3 linked regions of the Drosophila melanogaster genome follow. Changing the gene in region 2 together with the main gene of any one other region gives a genetic interaction. Each region holds a gene or a part of one and is shown on either strand. Other genes may lie near its edges.

Evidence for each region.
Region 1: of tyn (region 2) and nyo, changing one suppresses a phenotype caused by changing the other (phenotypic suppression), as found in Drosophila melanogaster (one study listed by BioGRID).
Region 3: of tyn (region 2) and neo, changing one suppresses a phenotype caused by changing the other (phenotypic suppression), as found in Drosophila melanogaster (one study listed by BioGRID).

What each region holds. Positions count from the first base shown.
Region 1 is NT_033777.3:31,541,351-31,546,147, reverse strand, and holds the start of nyo (nyobe), read right to left. Parts: upstream 3,117-4,797; 5' UTR 2,621-3,116; exon of another isoform or gene 2,571-2,620; intron 1-2,570.
Region 2 is NC_004354.4:138,417-143,447, reverse strand, and holds the start of tyn (trynity), read right to left. Parts: upstream 3,131-5,031; 5' UTR 3,106-3,130; intron 2,727-3,105; exon of another isoform or gene 2,612-2,726; 5' UTR 2,250-2,611; exon of another isoform or gene 1,251-2,249; intron 1,241-1,250; exon of another isoform or gene 1,133-1,240; intron 718-1,132; exon of another isoform or gene 579-717; 5' UTR 446-578; coding exon of another isoform or gene 1-445. Other genes in the region: CG17707 (uncharacterized protein), read left to right, coding at 1-445; RhoGAP1A (Rho GTPase activating protein at 1A), read right to left, coding at 3,674-3,863, 3,924-4,173, 4,242-4,381, 4,518-4,678, 4,743-5,031.
Region 3 is NT_033777.3:29,817,450-29,825,178, forward strand, and holds the start of neo (neyo), read left to right. Parts: upstream 1-1,681; 5' UTR 1,682-1,830; intron 1,831-4,880; 5' UTR 4,881-4,931; coding exon 4,932-5,305; intron 5,306-5,370; coding exon 5,371-5,531; intron 5,532-5,590; coding exon 5,591-5,792; intron 5,793-5,925; coding exon 5,926-6,177; intron 6,178-6,319; coding exon 6,320-7,251; intron 7,252-7,324; coding exon 7,325-7,525; intron 7,526-7,668; coding exon 7,669-7,729. Other genes in the region: CG7829 (uncharacterized protein), read right to left, coding at 1-279.

The sequences.
Region 1 (4,797 bases), on a different chromosome or scaffold from region 2:
TCAATTAAAATATTACGGCAATACAAACGGCAGCAAAATACTTTCACACAATTGCAAATTATTTCGGGCAGCACTTCTGATCGAATTAGCCAAACTGCATGTCTTCAAATCGGACACTTTTCAATGAAAGCGAATCAAGTGCGAAACGAGCTAGCATTTTGATGGACAGGTTGTGCTGTTGCCATGCTATTAGCCTCTGGAGCTATGGCAGCGATCTAAAGGCGACGAACAGGGCGTATACTTAATAAGAGTAATTCACATGATCAAAATGGTTTGATAGAGCCACGCAAAATCGTGGGATAAACTGTACTGCCAGCCAGATAATCTTCTTGGGGGAAATGCGATGTGTAGAAAGCGGCTCTCATCAGCTGATGATATCATCAGCCAATTTCCTTCGATAATTTCTCAACCCAATTTCGTGCATCTTGTGCATAAATTATCATGAAGCCAATCTAAGATCAAGCGGCATTAGCCCCAAAAAAAGGTGCCAAAACAGTAGAAGAGCTAATCGCTGGCCAAAGCCAAATGCAAAGTAATCCAAACAGTTATGTTATTTCCCATCCGTCGACCATTGTTGGGTAGATCTGTGCTAATTGCCAGCCCAAACAGCCAACTGACCCAAAAGTTGACAATCGCAAATAAACATAAATGGTAATTTGGCACACCGAAAACCAAACAGTAAAACTGTTGGCCCAAATGAGGCTTACAGACGGACAACTCTTGGAGAGATGGACTACGTTGTCTTGGCAATTGAAAATGCGGCGGTCCATCAATCAATTATCTTGGTTAAACTGAAACGGAAGCGGTTTTTCTGCCTGACAATCACAGTCGCAATCTCGCTACTTAGAATCCATTTCGCGATTTCTTCTCGACGACTACGATGATTAGCCATTGATGACCACTGTCAGCCGCAAAAGTAAATTACAAAATGGAGGGAATAGAAAAAGCATAAGCGCACATAGCCTGCAAGCTAGAAATCAAATGCAAAAACAAATGCGCGGACCTGCGCCAAATGTCAAATTAAATCTATCAATTTCACGGCAGAATGAACGCCCAAATGCGGTGGGTCTCGTATAGAGCCCATATAAATTCCGCATGGCCAGACATTTGAAATTGCTTTGCTGACACCAAAGTGTGTGGGGAGTGGCTAGGTGCAAGATGCTTTAGATACTAGAGGCACACAGCTGGCTCAGCTGGCTCAGCCTGGCTACCTGGTGTTGTGGCATTTGATGTTGGTTGCCTGTAATTGCAATGGGAGAACTTTTTGCAGAGGCTAATCAACGCTAACTGCAACAAACAAGCTGGACAAACAAACGCAAATTGTTTTTTAAGGCACGGAAGCCAAGGCCCGGCGAATATTAAATGCACATGACAAATTGCCAGGCCGAAGGCGAAGGCTCTTGAAGATTCTCTTTCTTCATCGTGGTTTTCTTGCCTGCATGGTCTTTTCCCTGCCATTTGGCGGCAATTAAAGCGCACGCTTCGTCTAATCAACGGCGACTGGCAGGCTGCGTAAATGAATAGCTGCCAGGCGAACGAAGGCTGTGTTGTAACTGTCATGTCATCGTGATGATGCCATGATGCCAACTCCCTAGCTTTCTGGCCCACAACTGCAGAGCCGGAGCCGGAGCCAAGTTTGAGAGCAAAGCCCAGTCATGGCCAGGGCAATTATTGCGGGCAAATTTAAATACCAGCTCACCGAAGAAGAACCCTCGCTAGCCAACCAACACGGTAGCTGACACTCAATGGATCATTTCAGCCGGTGGTCTTTGGCTTTCTTTGGTTCTCTGGCTTTAGCCTTGCTCTTCAGATCATCAACGCCTTTTATCAGGGTCGGGGTCCTGTTCTAGTATCTCTTTTTCCCCACTCTTTGCTCGTGGGTTCTATTCTGACACGTTGCATTGTGGATTTCACACCACATCGGGGGCTTAATTATTTTAATTGCCCGCCCTGTGTTCACTTTTAATTGTGGGGACTCTAGATGATCTATAAAAGACAGCACAAGACAACGAAACTTAATGAATCTGTTGCCAATTAATGCAAATGTCTGGATGCCATCACAATTGCAATCTGGATACATTATTTTTGATTGCAGCGAGAAATAGTAAGTCTAAGAAGCATTCGGCGGCCATTGTCTTTACATTTATTATTTTTTCTGCAACTTGTGTGAATATATACAAAATTTGTAATTTGATTACAACACTTTTTTTCTGTGCCCTTTAAGGATGCATTAATTCATTTTTGAAGTATAATGTGAATTTTTTTATTGATCGACCGAGCTACTTAGTCCTTATCTAAGGTCATTTAATACTGTATCTTTTTATATTCACAGTTCGAAATCTTCTGTTATCTGAGAGCAAATATTTAAGGAAGAACAACTACAAAAATTAAAAAAATATTTTTGATTCCAAAGGTAAGTGAACCGCTATGGAAAGCACTTGAATTATTTATTTTGAACTCAATGGGGATTGGGGGAAATTCTGTAATCAATCGACCCAAGGTTGTTCTCAAAGCAGATTGTTTAACGAAGAAGGAGATTTCTTGCCGATCACTGTTTCTGAATTTCTTACTTGTCATTGCGCATATTACGTGTGTGTGGTAAAAGTTAATAAACACTCACTTGGCCAGAATATTTTGCAACTGCAACTGTAACTTGGGGTCGTGAGTTCTGGAAGTGACCGAAAAGTATCCTTTCCTTTCGGATTGTCTTGTTCTCCTGCCTTTTTCGGCTATCGATGCTGAGTCACGCTTCACTTTCGAGATGAGTTTTATTCATGTATGTAAATGATCACTGTTTGCTGATTACACACATTGCACATCGGTGGGTATTGAATGTTGCACTTGACTTTGCTGGTAGGTTGCTCCTCGTCAAAGCCGCGGACTAAAGTTCCTTGTAACGCGATTCGGTGCTTTTGTGAATTATTTTTTGGTTGCCAAGTCGCGAGATCGCTGCGAGCTTGACCGTCGAGAGTTGACCGAATAACTAAAGCAAACTCCGGGCTAATCAGTCGTTATATAAGTTGCTCACGGAGGAGTTTTGAGTTCTTCAGTTGCCTTTCTTTAGCTGCTTTGCTGCGCTGCTCGCGTGCGTTCGCCTTGACAATGGCCAACGATATAAAGTGCTGCCGAGCATAGAGCTCAAAAGAAAGCCAAAAAACACACAAAGCGGTCGGGCAAAGAAAGCCAATGCCAAAGCCAGAGAAATGAGTGGCAAACACAAACGGCTCAAAGCCAAACTCTCGTTTGAGTGAGTTGTGCTGAGCTGTGGGGGAAAAGCGAGTGGGTATTGCATTTCTCTCGGGATGACGCTCTTCTGGGGCTCTCTTCGCTTCAGGTGCTCTCTTCTGGGGCACATGTGGCATATTTCATTGAGTCCCGTCGCGGTCCATTCATAATTTCGATTACCAAATCCCCCGGCTGAAACGGAACCACGAGGGTTCAAAACGGGCACACACGACGTTCAATATCATTAATTAAATTGAAATCAGTTCTCGAGCTGCGAGCTGAGATCGTAGAGAAGGAGATCGAACTGGAGATCTAGAACCGGGGAAAAATCAATTTGGCCCATGAGATCGCACTTAGTCGAGTTATTGGTACATGAAAATTATGATATTACTTCTTGGCCAACTTGAATTCTCATTTTTCACTCGTCTTGTGGTCAGCCAGGCAGTGTCGTGCGTTTTATGCTCCATAAAAGCTGTCCAGCACCGCAGTTTAAATGAATTAGGAGCCCAAAACGAAGTCAACTTGAATAGAAAGGTGCAGCAGAATCGAGGAAGAAATCAAAACGTCCATCAATTGATCACACAGCCCCTGAAGATGCCAAAGAAAGTTACAGATTTGTCGGACAGCGTAGATCAACAAATGATTTAATAACATTTCTATTGAGTCATTAACATGTTAGGCTCATAAATTGAACGATTGGAACGATCAGCCAATGTAAACATAGGCGATCACAAAACAATCGATACAAAGGGACACCGAAAAATGAATCAATTTGGGATCGGATTTTGGATTGTTGTGGAATCGGATGACGGCAGACGGGAGACCTTTCGCTTTCAACGAAGCTGTAACTGAAAAGCGGCACGATCTTCTGCATACTGATGAGTCCACGAGGCGTTCGTCACAATCTGGAGAAAGCTAAGCCAAATCAAAGAAATCCACAACTGAAGACAAAGCGACAATTGCTAAATGAAATGTCGCGCAAGGAAGCGCAAATTGTAACTCTTGCAAAGCGGCAATCAAATGTCGCCGGAAATGTTTACACAAAGCGCTCGAAAATGCCCAAAAATGTTTTGAAGAGGTGGAAAAAAAGGGGATTGAAGGGGTTAGAAAGGCAATTTGCATTTCACCGTGTGACAATGACAGCTGCTTAATGATGATGCACGTTGATTTGCGAAGATTTGGAAGATTTGGTGATCTGTATCTCGGTGATTTTTTTCTTTGGTGTGACTGCGAACAGGTGCATTTTTTTTTAGTTAGCGAGAACCGAGGCTTCGTTATTGCCGTTGCTTTCGTTTTTCGGGCGAAAATGAAAACAGTTATTTCCGAAAATAGCCCGCATAGCAGATGCACATGTTTCATCTGTCCCATAAAGTTTGTTGCTTAAGTCTTTAGTTATAATTTTTTCTTTGGACGCCTTATTTTAACTTTTTGAGTGTATGCTTCAAATTTTATATTATTCCCCTACTCAGCACAGCATTTGAATTGAATGGAATCCCCTCATTCTCAGCTTTTCTTTAAGGGTTTCTTGTAGAAGTTTGTGCGGATTGGAACAGCATCCGTTCACGTATTCGA
Region 2 (5,031 bases):
GCCGCTGATTTCCAGGCGTTTAAATCTTTCCCTTTGGGCATGCAGCCTTTTCGTACTTCTGATCGTGGTCTTTGGGGTTTGGGAAGGACATTTAGGCACCACCAGCAGCGCCTTTTACGTGGGCGTAGCCCACACAGCCTTCGGATGTGGGCTAGTGTGGATCGTCTTATCCTGCTGTTGGGGGCTTGTGCCAACCGTAAATGCAATACTGTCGTATCGCGTTATGTGGCCACTTTCACGACTCACATACTGTGCCTATCTGATCCATCCCATCATAATGTTCATTTGCTCTTCGCACATGAGCGGCACTGTTCACCTAAGCAATCCTCTCATCCTGACCTTGTTTTTAGGCAACGCCGTCGTGTCGTTCGGATGCGCCTTTGTCATATCCGCCTTTTTTGAGGCACCCGTTATCCGAATACTTAAAATATGTTTTAAAAAGTAATGGAATCTGAATACCTTCGTACGTCAACGTCAATTGGTTTTTTAACCTTTTGGCAGCCAATTTGTTATTTGTTGGTTAATATCCCATATATGTATCTTCAAAGTGTACTTGGTTCTTCTCCATTTTTTTGTGTCTGCAACGAAGTAATGCACAATCAGATGTCATCTTATGCTTATAAATATCTATAGGCTTAAATATGTTATATATTCTTGTTAATGAAGTAGGCAGCTAACTGGAGATACGTTTTTTTTTAATAAAATATACCTTAAACCAAAGATAATCAACATTTAATTTGTATACAAGTATTCTACATGATATCCGAGGGGTTCCGCTTTAAATTGGCTTGGAGTTTTTTGTAAAATAAACTTGACTTAGTTCATGGCAATAAATACATAGTCTGTACGTCAACGTGAACACCATTGTCACAACAATATGTTTATTTTATACGTAAAAAATGCCTCGATGATGCGATTAGCCATGACCAGGATAGATTACGGTACTGATGAGTTAAATGCAGAACTATATAACTTGCACAGGATTGTTTGGAACGCAAAAATTGTATTGGAAAGGTTGGAAAGAATTTTGCTTTAATTCCCCCAAAATGAAAATAAGTCTAATTTACAAGGCGCATTTTGAAATGTTTAAGTAAAAAATGTTTTAAATATTTTAAACTGCTCTATTTAGTACATCTTAATAAACTTGTTGTAAGACAATGTATTTTATTTTTCCATAAATTATTTTGGTATTGAATCCCAGACCTACAACGCAATGAGCATTTGGCTATAGCGATTATCTTGGACATATCGATGTTGGTGAACGCGGTACTATCGATAATACTATCGTATTTTTGCAATTCTATTGCAATTATTATTATTTCAATTCAATTAAATTATAGCATTGAAGTACCCTACAGAAAATATGTCTAATTTTTTTAAAACAGATCCCTAAGCGTTTTTCTTAAAACCCGCGTTCATAAGCAAAAGCTTCATGAAAGTGAACTTCACCGAGAAGAACAAGATTAAAGAGAGCAATAGTAAACAACAAGTGTCGTCGTCGATAAGCGTAATGCGAAGTAGTAAAAGTAAACGCATCATCAGTTTATCTAGAAAAGATAACATTGATTCCCGGGATGATATTCTTTCGAAAAGTGGACTACAGTTCTGTCGAAAAGGTGCGCAACTTTTTTCAGCAATTTGGTCCTGTGCCTGTGGTGAATTTGCAGCCTTGTCAGATGGTTTACTATTAAAAATCTGCTGGCAGTCCTGGAGTCTTCAAACCGTGGTCCCACCTTTAGTTAATTTTTACGGGGCTGGCAGGATGGTACCACATTTCGGAAGTATGAAAATGAGATGAAAACAAAATTTTCAAGTTGATATACAAAAAGATCAAAAATAATATAATTTCGTTGGACTGGAGAGCCAGTGATTTCGAAATCAGAATCTTTGGGAACAACCAAACGGAAAAACGGAAAGCTAAAGAAGACACTTCCGAAATCTAGGTAGCATTCACACAGCTTAAATTGCCAAGTTAAAGATTCATTAAAATCCGCTAAAATAAAATTTCCTAGCCCAACGGCTTCATTAAGTCGACGATTTCCTCAGTGACGGACATGGCGACATGAACTCATAATAACTTGAAGCTCACCCAAATTGATAGCAATCCAGCGGACTTAAGCGCAGTGATCTAAAGTAATCCAAAGGACCCAAAAATATTATTTTAGTTGTTTAACGCACTGATCGTTTTCAGGACTCAAGATAAAGAATTCGAGACGTTTGAGACATATTCAAGTACATTTTGGTCATACCTGTTAAGGAATTTCAATTACTATTTCTAATCCGTGTTCCTAGAGCCTTTGGTGAGCTGTATTCCTTACGTATTCACATCGTGACTTTGGCTTTGTTGACTAAATCTCCAAGTAGAGTCCGAAAGCGCCTTCAACACTTTTAGAGCCAGTACTCATTTCTACTGCCGTCAATTGGTGCTTGAGTAGAGCGCCAAAGATAAACAACCTGGGCGTGGAGGAGCATTGCAAACAGACGGTGATCTAATTCGGCGCCAGTCTGGCAGCCTATTCGCCGAAACGCGGTTAAAAATCCCTCTTCGTTGTAGAGGGATAAGTGCAGTCAAATCAAGAGGACGAGGAAAAGCAATAATATCCAGGCCTAGCTTGAAAATGTATAAAGTAGACAATATAATTTTTAAAATATTCATATAAAAAAAACTGCCCTGAAACATAATTACAATGCCTGAATGATAATCTCGAAGCCCTATAGCAATATCTAAACAGATTTTTTTTTTTATTTTACGTTCTTTTTTATATAAAACCTAAATATTAAAAAAAATAAAAAAAAACTGAATTTTAAAGGCATACATATTTTATATCAATCAGCCGGAAAAAATCGCTACCACTACTTCTGTAAATTAAATTATTAATAAGTAGTTGTATATATACGCATATATATGTATATTATATATATAAGAAATAATGCATACATATAAATGCATATATTGTAGATATATGTATAAATTTTTATATACATATACATATATAATATAATATAATTATTATTACTTATACGTATATATATATGCATTATTGCTTATTATAATAATTATACCTTAATAAGTAAAAATTTATAAATACATAGTTAAATATATACCTATGTTTGTAGATATATATTTTAATTGTTGAAAATATTTGCAATTTTTCTGTTGCTCTTTTTTGCACTTGTTACGGTAAGCAGAACTTGCATCCAAATGTACATGTCTAGTAAAGTACGGGTAATATATGGGAGTAATTTTCAGTAACGGAGAAGCAGCGATGTACAAGTGTTAAACACTTGCTAGTTCCAGGTGTGCGATGTACATGGATGACCCGACATTGAGCTGATATGTGACATCCCTGGATCCTTACATAGATCCTGGTGTTTCCCTTTTCCACGTCATATCATCATATTCGGTTTATAATTGCAGTTGCGGATTCTGGTATATACAGTAGGCAGCACCAGTGTTTTATGGTGTTTTCGGAATTTAATGGCCTTTTCCGTAGTTTCAAGGTAGTTGGGCGGTTTGTTATATAATATAAGGGGTTGTCATTAAGATAGAGACGTGACGTATGAGTAGACTGTCCATCAACTTCCATCGTATTATTGCTATTGTTTGTAAAAAATATAATTTTTGTACATATATATATGTCCATATGTATCTGTGTAAACTGCTCACGAAATCCTAATCCTTCTTGATCCGTGCCTGAAGAAAGCAGTATAGGATTCCTGCCTGAGCCATAACGTCGACTGTGCTGGCTGCCAGTGGATCCTTCTGCTTCACCTGCGTTTGGCCCGGCCTTAGCAAGGTTGGTCCAAACACCATGGCCAGATTGTGCAACGACATCTTGTTATCTGTCTCCTTTTCGTGGACTCTACAATAAGTAGTGACAAAAAAAGTTTATTTTAAACGTCCATGTTTATAAGAAACAAACCTTATTAAATGATCTAATATCGAAGTAATGGAGGCTTTGTTGGCCTGTGGCAACTCCTCAAAAACTTTTAGAAGCTCGTTGATTCGTGTGGATTCGTTGTTGTTGCTAAAGGCGCTGAATGTGTCGAAAAATCGTGGATAAAGTTGATCCGTGAAAAGGGCCTCGGGGAGCTCCCTTAAAAAAGTTTTCAGAATGCCAGTGACCGAATGGATGTCCACCTCGCGTAGCAACTGCTCCGCCTCATAGGCATCTGAAGAAAATAAAATTAAGTGCAAATTAGTAATAAGACATGGTTACCCATCAAAGCCATATATTCACCAGACTCAAAGGCCTTCTTCAGCTTCGCCAAATCAGAAGCGGAACCGCTGACGCGGTAGCAGCCAACCTCCAGCATCCCACGCCGCTCTACCTCCCGAATGCAGGCGCCTATGATGAACGGAATGTCGCGTTTTTCACGTCTGAATGAACAGAAATATATAGTTTTACATTAATTTATATTGCTCACAAAGTTTATTAAAATATTTAATTATTTCTTTACAATTTTCATTTCACGAAAAGGGGTGCTGTTATTTGATATATGGAATTATTATTTACTTTAATACTTGACTCATTTTGGCACCGAAGAGGGCTCCTGGCTTTGTGCTGCCGCGGAAGAGCTCGCCTGGTATAAAACGGAAGCTACAGCCGAGCTCTAAGGTCTCAGTAAGTTTAATTGACTTCGGCTGCGTTGTTTCTGTCAGCCAACTTAAACTCAACTATGGAATCAAGCGGAATTATTGATGTAAAACTTAATAACAAAGATCAACTTTTAACTCCCACCTTAAGTATGTGCTTGGCTTTAAGAAGCGGTCGCTCCTTAGCCTCATAAAGAAGAATGCGTACATTCTGGCTGCCCTCCAGTTCCAGCATAAAGCTTTCGTTCCAGAGCGGCGTTTGACTGCGACATATCTTCTTGGTGGTGGCCTTGCGAAAATAGTGGCCATAGGAGTCCACCTCGACGCAGATGTACAGGTCGTTCGCTTGCTCCAGTCCTTCCAATCCATGAACTCCCATGTACAGGTCCCCAACCAACAGGCTCTCGTCGTTAGTGTTACGCATAAGATATGAA
Region 3 (7,729 bases), on a different chromosome or scaffold from region 2:
TTCCCCATCTTTTCGGTAGCGCGACGTTCCGCCGACCTTAACTTTCAGCAGGCGATGTGGCACTCCGTTCAGACAATGGCCAGCCGTTAGGATGGTGTGGTTATTTATTATGGAGCCGCCACAATGGTGGATGCCGTACAGTTGGATGGACACTATGTACGGAATGTTGGCGATATCGGCTGGGAAGCCACCGACTATGCGTGGATCTGGGCGACTCTCCAGAGATAGACACCCAGAAGCCTGGAGGAGAAGCAATTTCCACCATAACTTGTACATCATTCGCAGTTAAACGGAGAAAGAATCGCTTTAAAGTAGGAATGTGCGGTCTTTGGATCGCACCTTAAGTACGGAAGAACGTGAAAAATAATGAGAAAAAGCATTTCAATAAGTGCCCATTACTTTGTAATTAGGAAGAGGTTTCGTTTATCTCGCAACTGTTTCAGCTTCGCCGACAGACAGAATATACAATATATGTAACTAAGCTCCGTTCGTGCCGTCAGTTATTAAGAGCCGGACTAATTAAAGTTCAAAATAGTTGAAATGCGAGGAAAGAATGGACCAAATGGATTAAATTAGGGAATACTTAACTACCAAGTAGGTGCTCCAAGGGGCCACTTACCTAGCAATCTGCCATGAATCATCTTTCAATAACTAGGGCTTTCTTCGGTCCGATTCTCCTCGCTTTTCACAAATGTATATCATTTGAATAGCATTAATGGCCAAATCTGGCCTCCACTCATCTATTGTTTGCCCAATTTGTTATCAAAGCACGACCCGTTTTCTCGGCGAACGGACTCGGCCAACTGATTTGCATTGGCTTGACCCATAAATTTGGAAATCAAACACCGTTTGATGGGCCATTCTGGCTCTGGTCTGGCATACTGGCATATCCACGTCGAAAGCGCTGTCCCCGCCAATAAAGTGGGCTATTCGAGATCGGCAGATATCACTGATCTCCAGCCAGTGCGAATGGGGGATGGGGATGGGGGCTAGTCGAAATGGAGTAAAAGTAAACACCGAACATAAGCCCACACAAATCGTTATGGTGGATTTGGCCTAAGCCGATTAGGCTAGAATGGGAGAAAATGGGTGACGAGCGATTTCACGCGACACCTGCGTACGTACCTTTCTCACTCCCAACTCCCAACTCCACACTCCTCATTTCTCATTAGTGAAAGTGAAAAATAGTAAAAACGCAAGCGACAGTTATAAGCCAAAACCCATTGTTACGCGTCGCTTTTCTGGCAGCCCTTGGGCGCTAACAGGCCCATAAGAAAATTATTCGAGGAGCCATAATGCCAACTTTATATGTTACCTATGTTAGGCCCAAAGAGAGCCAAAGAGCGCAGACAGGTGCACATTGTTCTCGATCGTTGACCGCAATCACCATGGTTGCATCTCCAACACGTTCGAGTTCGGAGTGTAGAGATCCAGCCACAGGTGATACCTCACCATTACCAAGCACGAGTGTGTTTACCATGCTAACAATTTCTTTCTGTTTGAGGTTCTTTCGTCTGCGAGCATCATCCACATCCATCGCCCCGAGACTTTCTTTTGCAAGAATTCCACTTCCACGACGAACTGCGTCCCGCTCTCTCGCGCCTTCTCTCTTCCTTCGCCAGCCGAGCTGCTCCCAGAACTTCTTTATCTAATTTTTATAACAAGTCACTCGGCGGCGTGGAAGACTTCAGTTCTGCGGCGACCATCGAATGGTCAAGTTCGGTGCTCCCTTGTTCCCATTGCGAAAGATCTTGGGCTGCGAAAGTGTTTTGTCTCAGTGTGACTAGGCTGAAATTCGGGAAAGACTCAGGCAACGAACTTGTTAATTAGGTAATTGTTTGACGATATGGATATGACTATGAATATGGATATGGATATTGAAACGAAGATGTTAGAATGCCTCACATCATGAGCACTGGTGTGGGAACAGAGCTATGCCTTTTCCACCTCCGATCGAACCGCTACTCAGCAGATGCTGCCCAGATGCACCGACTGAGGAATAACTAAGAAAAATCTGAACAAAAAACGTTAACCGGTTTACTTAAACGGCAGTGATCGGACTGACGGATGACTATGCCTATGCCAGCGTTGAAAAACGGAGACAATCATTCTGAAAAAGTGAACTGCAAAAACGCAGCAAACTGAGAAAAACTGTGCAGAATGCAAAAGACTCGAAAGACTCCAGCCCCAGTTACATATACGTTCTTCACGATTCTTCGCAATTCTTTACCATTCTTCAAGGTTCTGCAGCCAGTCTGCGGCTTCCGTCAAAACATTAGGACTTCCGTCCTGGAATGGGAGTTCCCCCCCCGACGGATGCCAACTGACTTGGTTCGGCTTTCTTGGCTAAATTCTGAGATACTCACGCATATTGGCAGAAATCTCAGAGTCAGTGAATCCTAAGAGCTGGAAATTAGCACAGTAGTTCGTTAGTGGTCCCGTGATTATCCCACGAATCCCAAATTGGCCACATTCGAAGTTTCGCCGAATGGGAAATTAATCTAACAGTGTGATACCTGCCGTTAAATTTTTGGCAGGCTTTAGTCACCGGAGAAATGAAGTCATTAACACATTCAGAATGGTGAAAGTTTTTTCCTATGGCGCGGTCCCTCTCGAAGATCGGATTTCTATTGACGCTTGGCAGATCGTTTAATTACATCATGCACCTGGAATTGGGGCTGAATGTGAATGGAGCCGAAGTTGGTCAGAAGGGGTGTAGACTAGACGCTGTTCGACATTAAAAAAAAACCCAAAAGAGCTATAAGGTCGCAGAAACAAAGGCAGTTAAATAAAAGAAAAAGTTCGAAAGTGCTAAACAGTTAACAAGTGCTGATTGGCCCAAAACAGTGAACCCAAAAGCGGTATTGTGATGTGTTAGCTCGACTGATTGATTGATCTAGATAGTAGTAGCATATGCACAAAGCGGCACATTGAAGAGAAGTATTCTTTATGCTTAGTTATTATTATGACAAGAATGTTTTTGCAAGGTGGATTCATCTAATCTCCCCCTACCTTTGTTACCAATTTCAAAACCCATTTCTCTAGTTAGTAAAGAGGAGTTCCGAGGTCCTTCAGCACTCCCTACTTTTACTGCCCATCCACGCATAGTTGGCCTCTTCCCTCAGTTTCCTTTTTCTAAACCTTGCAGTAGCCGCAACCCACAGTGGTTGGGAGAACGCTTAGTGGGGCCCCGCATTCTTGGCCCCGCAGAAACTACGATCATTTAACAGTAATTTGGGCAATAAACGACTGTTCGCACTAATCGATTGTGATCAGCGACACAGTTAGGCGGCGCTGTTTCCTTGGGCTGTTCATGTCGATGCCCCATACCCACTGGATACCGGTTGGGTTTCGGTTTCGGTTTGGGTTTCGTTTGGGGATTGGGATTGGGTTGGGGCTCGACCTGATCGCTGCGGGCGTAACACCCATACCCAGGTGCCCATGTAGCCATGTAGCCATGTACATGCATGTGTCTATGCTCGGCAGAAACAGCTTTTGACGATAATCATTGACCCAATTCTTCTGCCGCTTTCTACAAGATTTTTGTACAATAACATGGTCATGGACTCGTTATAATGCAGCTTCCTGAGTGGCCATTCTTTACATGGCACTGCCGAATGCCGAATGCCGAACGCTGTATGGTCATGTGCACCGGACCCCGACATATTCGTATTCATGCCATTCCGGGCCAGAATCCACTGAGGAAGGGAAAAAGAATAAAGAAGAATTCAAAAGTCTTTCAAGCATTTTATCTCTAATTAAGTACGGCTCGTTTTGACCGCTGCAGGGTTTATGAATTATGAATCACCCGATGAATTAACGGTATGTTTCTAAATATCATCTTGAAAGAATGAAGAAGCTCAGTTTTGGGTGGAACGTCGGCCCGTCGGAAAGTCGCCACAGCGGATTAGTGTGTCTGGTGCGTCGGCAGTCATGCGTTTTCTACATATCAGCTATCCGTATCCGTATGCCATCCTATCCGTATCTATTACCCACCAAAGTTTTCTGCACACATGGGTATTCATGAGAATTCTGATGGAATAACTGTGCTGCTAGCCAGCTAGCCAGCTAGGAACTTTATATATGTATATCTCTTAATACAGTTATCATGGTAATAAGTCATGCTTCAAGTGGGCTCCTAACGAGATACTCGCCAATGGCAATTACGCGGCTCGAAAGCCAAATGTATTCCCTTTCGTAATAATATTCTTTTCTATAATTGAATTGTTGTCCCGCCTCGCAAGTATTTGTATTAATAATTTTCCAAATTGTCCATTCCTTACGGGTTTCTTGAGTCCCTAAGGTTCGGTTCCTTTGGGTACCTGAGGTTCTGGCGAAACAAGCTCTACATGGTACTTGGCGAAAAATTAGAGCTCATGACCCCTTGATGGTCTCCACAGCGCAACCGTCAATCATAAGCGATGCCCATTAACTTGGCTGTTGCGCAAGAGTTTAGCTCAGCGGACCAGAAAAAAAATCAGGGGATCGCGAATAGTGGCGAATCTGGTGAATAGTGCACGGGGTCATCGACGTGAGCTCCGTTTTCCCAACGGAATGGATCCAATCCGACTGGATAGAATGGAGTGGAGTGGAGTGGAGTAACTGGCCGTGATATTGTTTCTGCGACTTCGTAATTCGCGTTACGCCTTATGGCAAACAAATTAATTTGAAGAGATTGAGACAGTGCCTGCGTAGTCAATTTGGCTCGCTTTATAAATAAAGCTTAGCGTTATGCCTTACGATTATGGGCCAATACAATGTTTGCTTATTTAAGATGTTCTATAAACAGGTATACCCATTTGCAGTTATTGGTTCAGAACGCTTGGAATGTTTGAGGATAGATAATGTATCTTAAGTAACAGCCCTCTATCTATCTTTAGATACTCAGCAGCAGCTTGTTTCTTACAGGCCCAGTGATAGATACTCTAAATATGGCCAAGATAAACCTACTGCGACACCTCTTCCTGGCCCTAATGCTGTACAGTGCGGCCACGGCCAAGGAGCACCTGCGAATCCGAAGACAGGCTGCGGAATCGGTGACTGCCGCAGCTCCGAATGCCAGTAAGGTGATGGCCTCCGAGGAGATTAAGGACAAGACAGAGTGGCCCGGCGCCAAAGAAACCTCCACCGAAATCAATAGGACTGAGAGGCCCGTAGAAAACGTGGAGACCCGCAACTCGGGCTTCGACTTGCCGGCCGCCTCGGATTTGTCCAGCTCTCTGGGTTCCGAGGAGGATAGCATCTACTACGACAATGCTCCCGTGGACTGCAATCCCGAGCTGGTGGGCTTTGAAATTGTGACAGGGTAAGTAAAGACGGGTGGTTGCTACCCTACCCTAATGGCTGCTCAACTGACAAGTCCTTCGCCAGATACGTCTTCTCGGCGCCCGAAAAGCTGATGGACTCCCAGCCGGGCACGCTAATGCTCACTGATTGCTTGGACACCTGTAGGAAGAACAAAACCTGCCAGTCAGTGAACTACGAGACCGGGCTTTGCGTGCTCTTCTCGGCACATGCTGATCAATTACCGGGTAAGCTACTTATGCCGCTAAACAAACCAGCTCGCGACTTAATCACAATCATTACGAAGGTGCCCTGACAAAGTCGCAGTTCCCCGTATTCACTATCTATGCCCAAAAATCATGCCTGGCCGTGAAGCCCTGCTCCCGAGCCTGGTACGTCGATCGTGTTCAGAACTACAAGCTCAAGACGGAAGTTAAGCGTACCGTGTCGGTGGCGTCAAGACGCGAGTGCTTTGAACTCTGCCTCGGCGAAAACGACTTCACATGCAGGTAGGTAGCGCCCAGTAGTACAGTCCAAACACCCAAACTTCACCCTCAACAAAGTCAAGTGAAGCAGAAAACTGCAACCCCCAACCCGAAACCGATTATTCCATATTCAACTATGTACATATGTCCCCTGTAGATCTGCCAACTACGATCGCACCTCTGGAGCTTGCGAGCTGAGCGAACTGGATCGCCTGACTCTGGCCGGCTCCCAGGCCTTCCAGGTGAACGATGGGTCGGATTACCTTGAAAATCACTGTGTCGATGAACCCAACAAGCTCTGCGAATTCAAACGTCTACCTGGTCGCATACTGAAGACGGTGGACTCGGTTTACCAAGAAGTGAGCAGCATTGACGAGTGCCGGGAACTGTGCCTCAACTCGCCATATAGGTCAGTAACATGTCCAATTATAAGCAGCTCTCCCTGATCTTGGGGGATTTAAGGGGACTAGACCCTTTGGGTCCGCCAATTAGACTATTTGATTGAAGGCGATATCATATCACACCATCCTCGACATTTCCATCCAACTCAGGTGCCATTCGTACGACTACAACGACACGGGTGACATGGTGTGTAGATTATCCCATCACAGTCGTGCCACCTTGGCGGATGTGCAGGAACCCTTCCTGGAGGTGCCCGAGGCGTCGACCTATGAACTGACTTCCTGCTACAATGTGACCATCGAGTGCGGCGGCGGGGACATGCTGGCACGCATCCGCACCTCCAAGCTCTTCAACGGCAAGGTGTACGCCAAGGGATCGCCCAAGTCCTGCTCGGTGGACGTGAAGAGCGCGCTGGACTTCGAGCTGCGCATGAACTACCACGATCTGGAGTGCAATGTGCGCCAGAGCACCGCCGGGCGCTATGTGAACGATATAATTATCCAGCACCACGACATGATTGTGACATCCTCCGATCTGGGCTTGGCCTTGGCCTGTCAGTACGACCTGACCAACAAGTCGGTGAGCAATGGCGTCGATCTGGATGTGCGCGGCGACATCATGCCGGCCCTGTCCGAGGAGGTAATTGTGGAGTCGCCCAACGTCATCATGCGGATTACGTCGCGCGACGGCTCGGACATGATGCGCTCCGCCGAGGTGGGCGACCCGCTGGCCCTCAAGTTCGAGATCGTCGACGAGCAGAGCCCCTACGAGATCTTCATTCGGGAGCTGGTTGCCATGGATGGCGTGGATAACTCGGAAATTACCTTAATCGATTCGAATGGCTGCCCAACCGACCACTTCATAATGGGTCCCATTTACAAGGGATCGGTTTCCGGCAAGATGCTGCTCTCCAATTTCGATGCCTTCAAGTTCCCCTCCAGCGAGGTGGTCCAGTTCCGCGCCTTGGTCACGCCCTGCATGCCCAGCTGCGAGCCCGTCCAGTGCGAGCAGGAGGACACCAGCGGGGAGTTCAGGTCCTTGTTGTCCTATGGCCGGAAACGCAGATCGCTCAACACCACAGGTAAGATCACAGATCATCTGATGGTCTTGCTATCTTCTCTTGCTATAACTTTCAACAACCTGTTCGCACACAGATGATCATCCGAGACCACGTCGCGACATCGACACTTCAAAGAAGTCCGCCCCCAGCGACATGCTGCTGGTTCAGTCCATTCAGATTACGGATAAGTTCGGATTCAAGCAAGATAAGCAGGAAAGCGGAGACTTTTACGACGGTAACGAGACCACATTCACTGCCAACGAGGAGGGTCACGGATTCTGCGTTAACGCCATTGGTAAGCTTTAATAACTTTCAATGTGGCGGCTGGCCATAAACCGCGTCTTAAAGAACCACTTTGCCAGCTGGCAGATGAACGGATTAGTGGCCTAATATACTAATAACCCCGTGCGCTCTCTCTCTCTCTCTCCTCGTCACTAGGTCTTATCACGGCTGCCACCATTTTCCTGCTAACTCAGCTGGCCGTGATCGCGATCTGGAC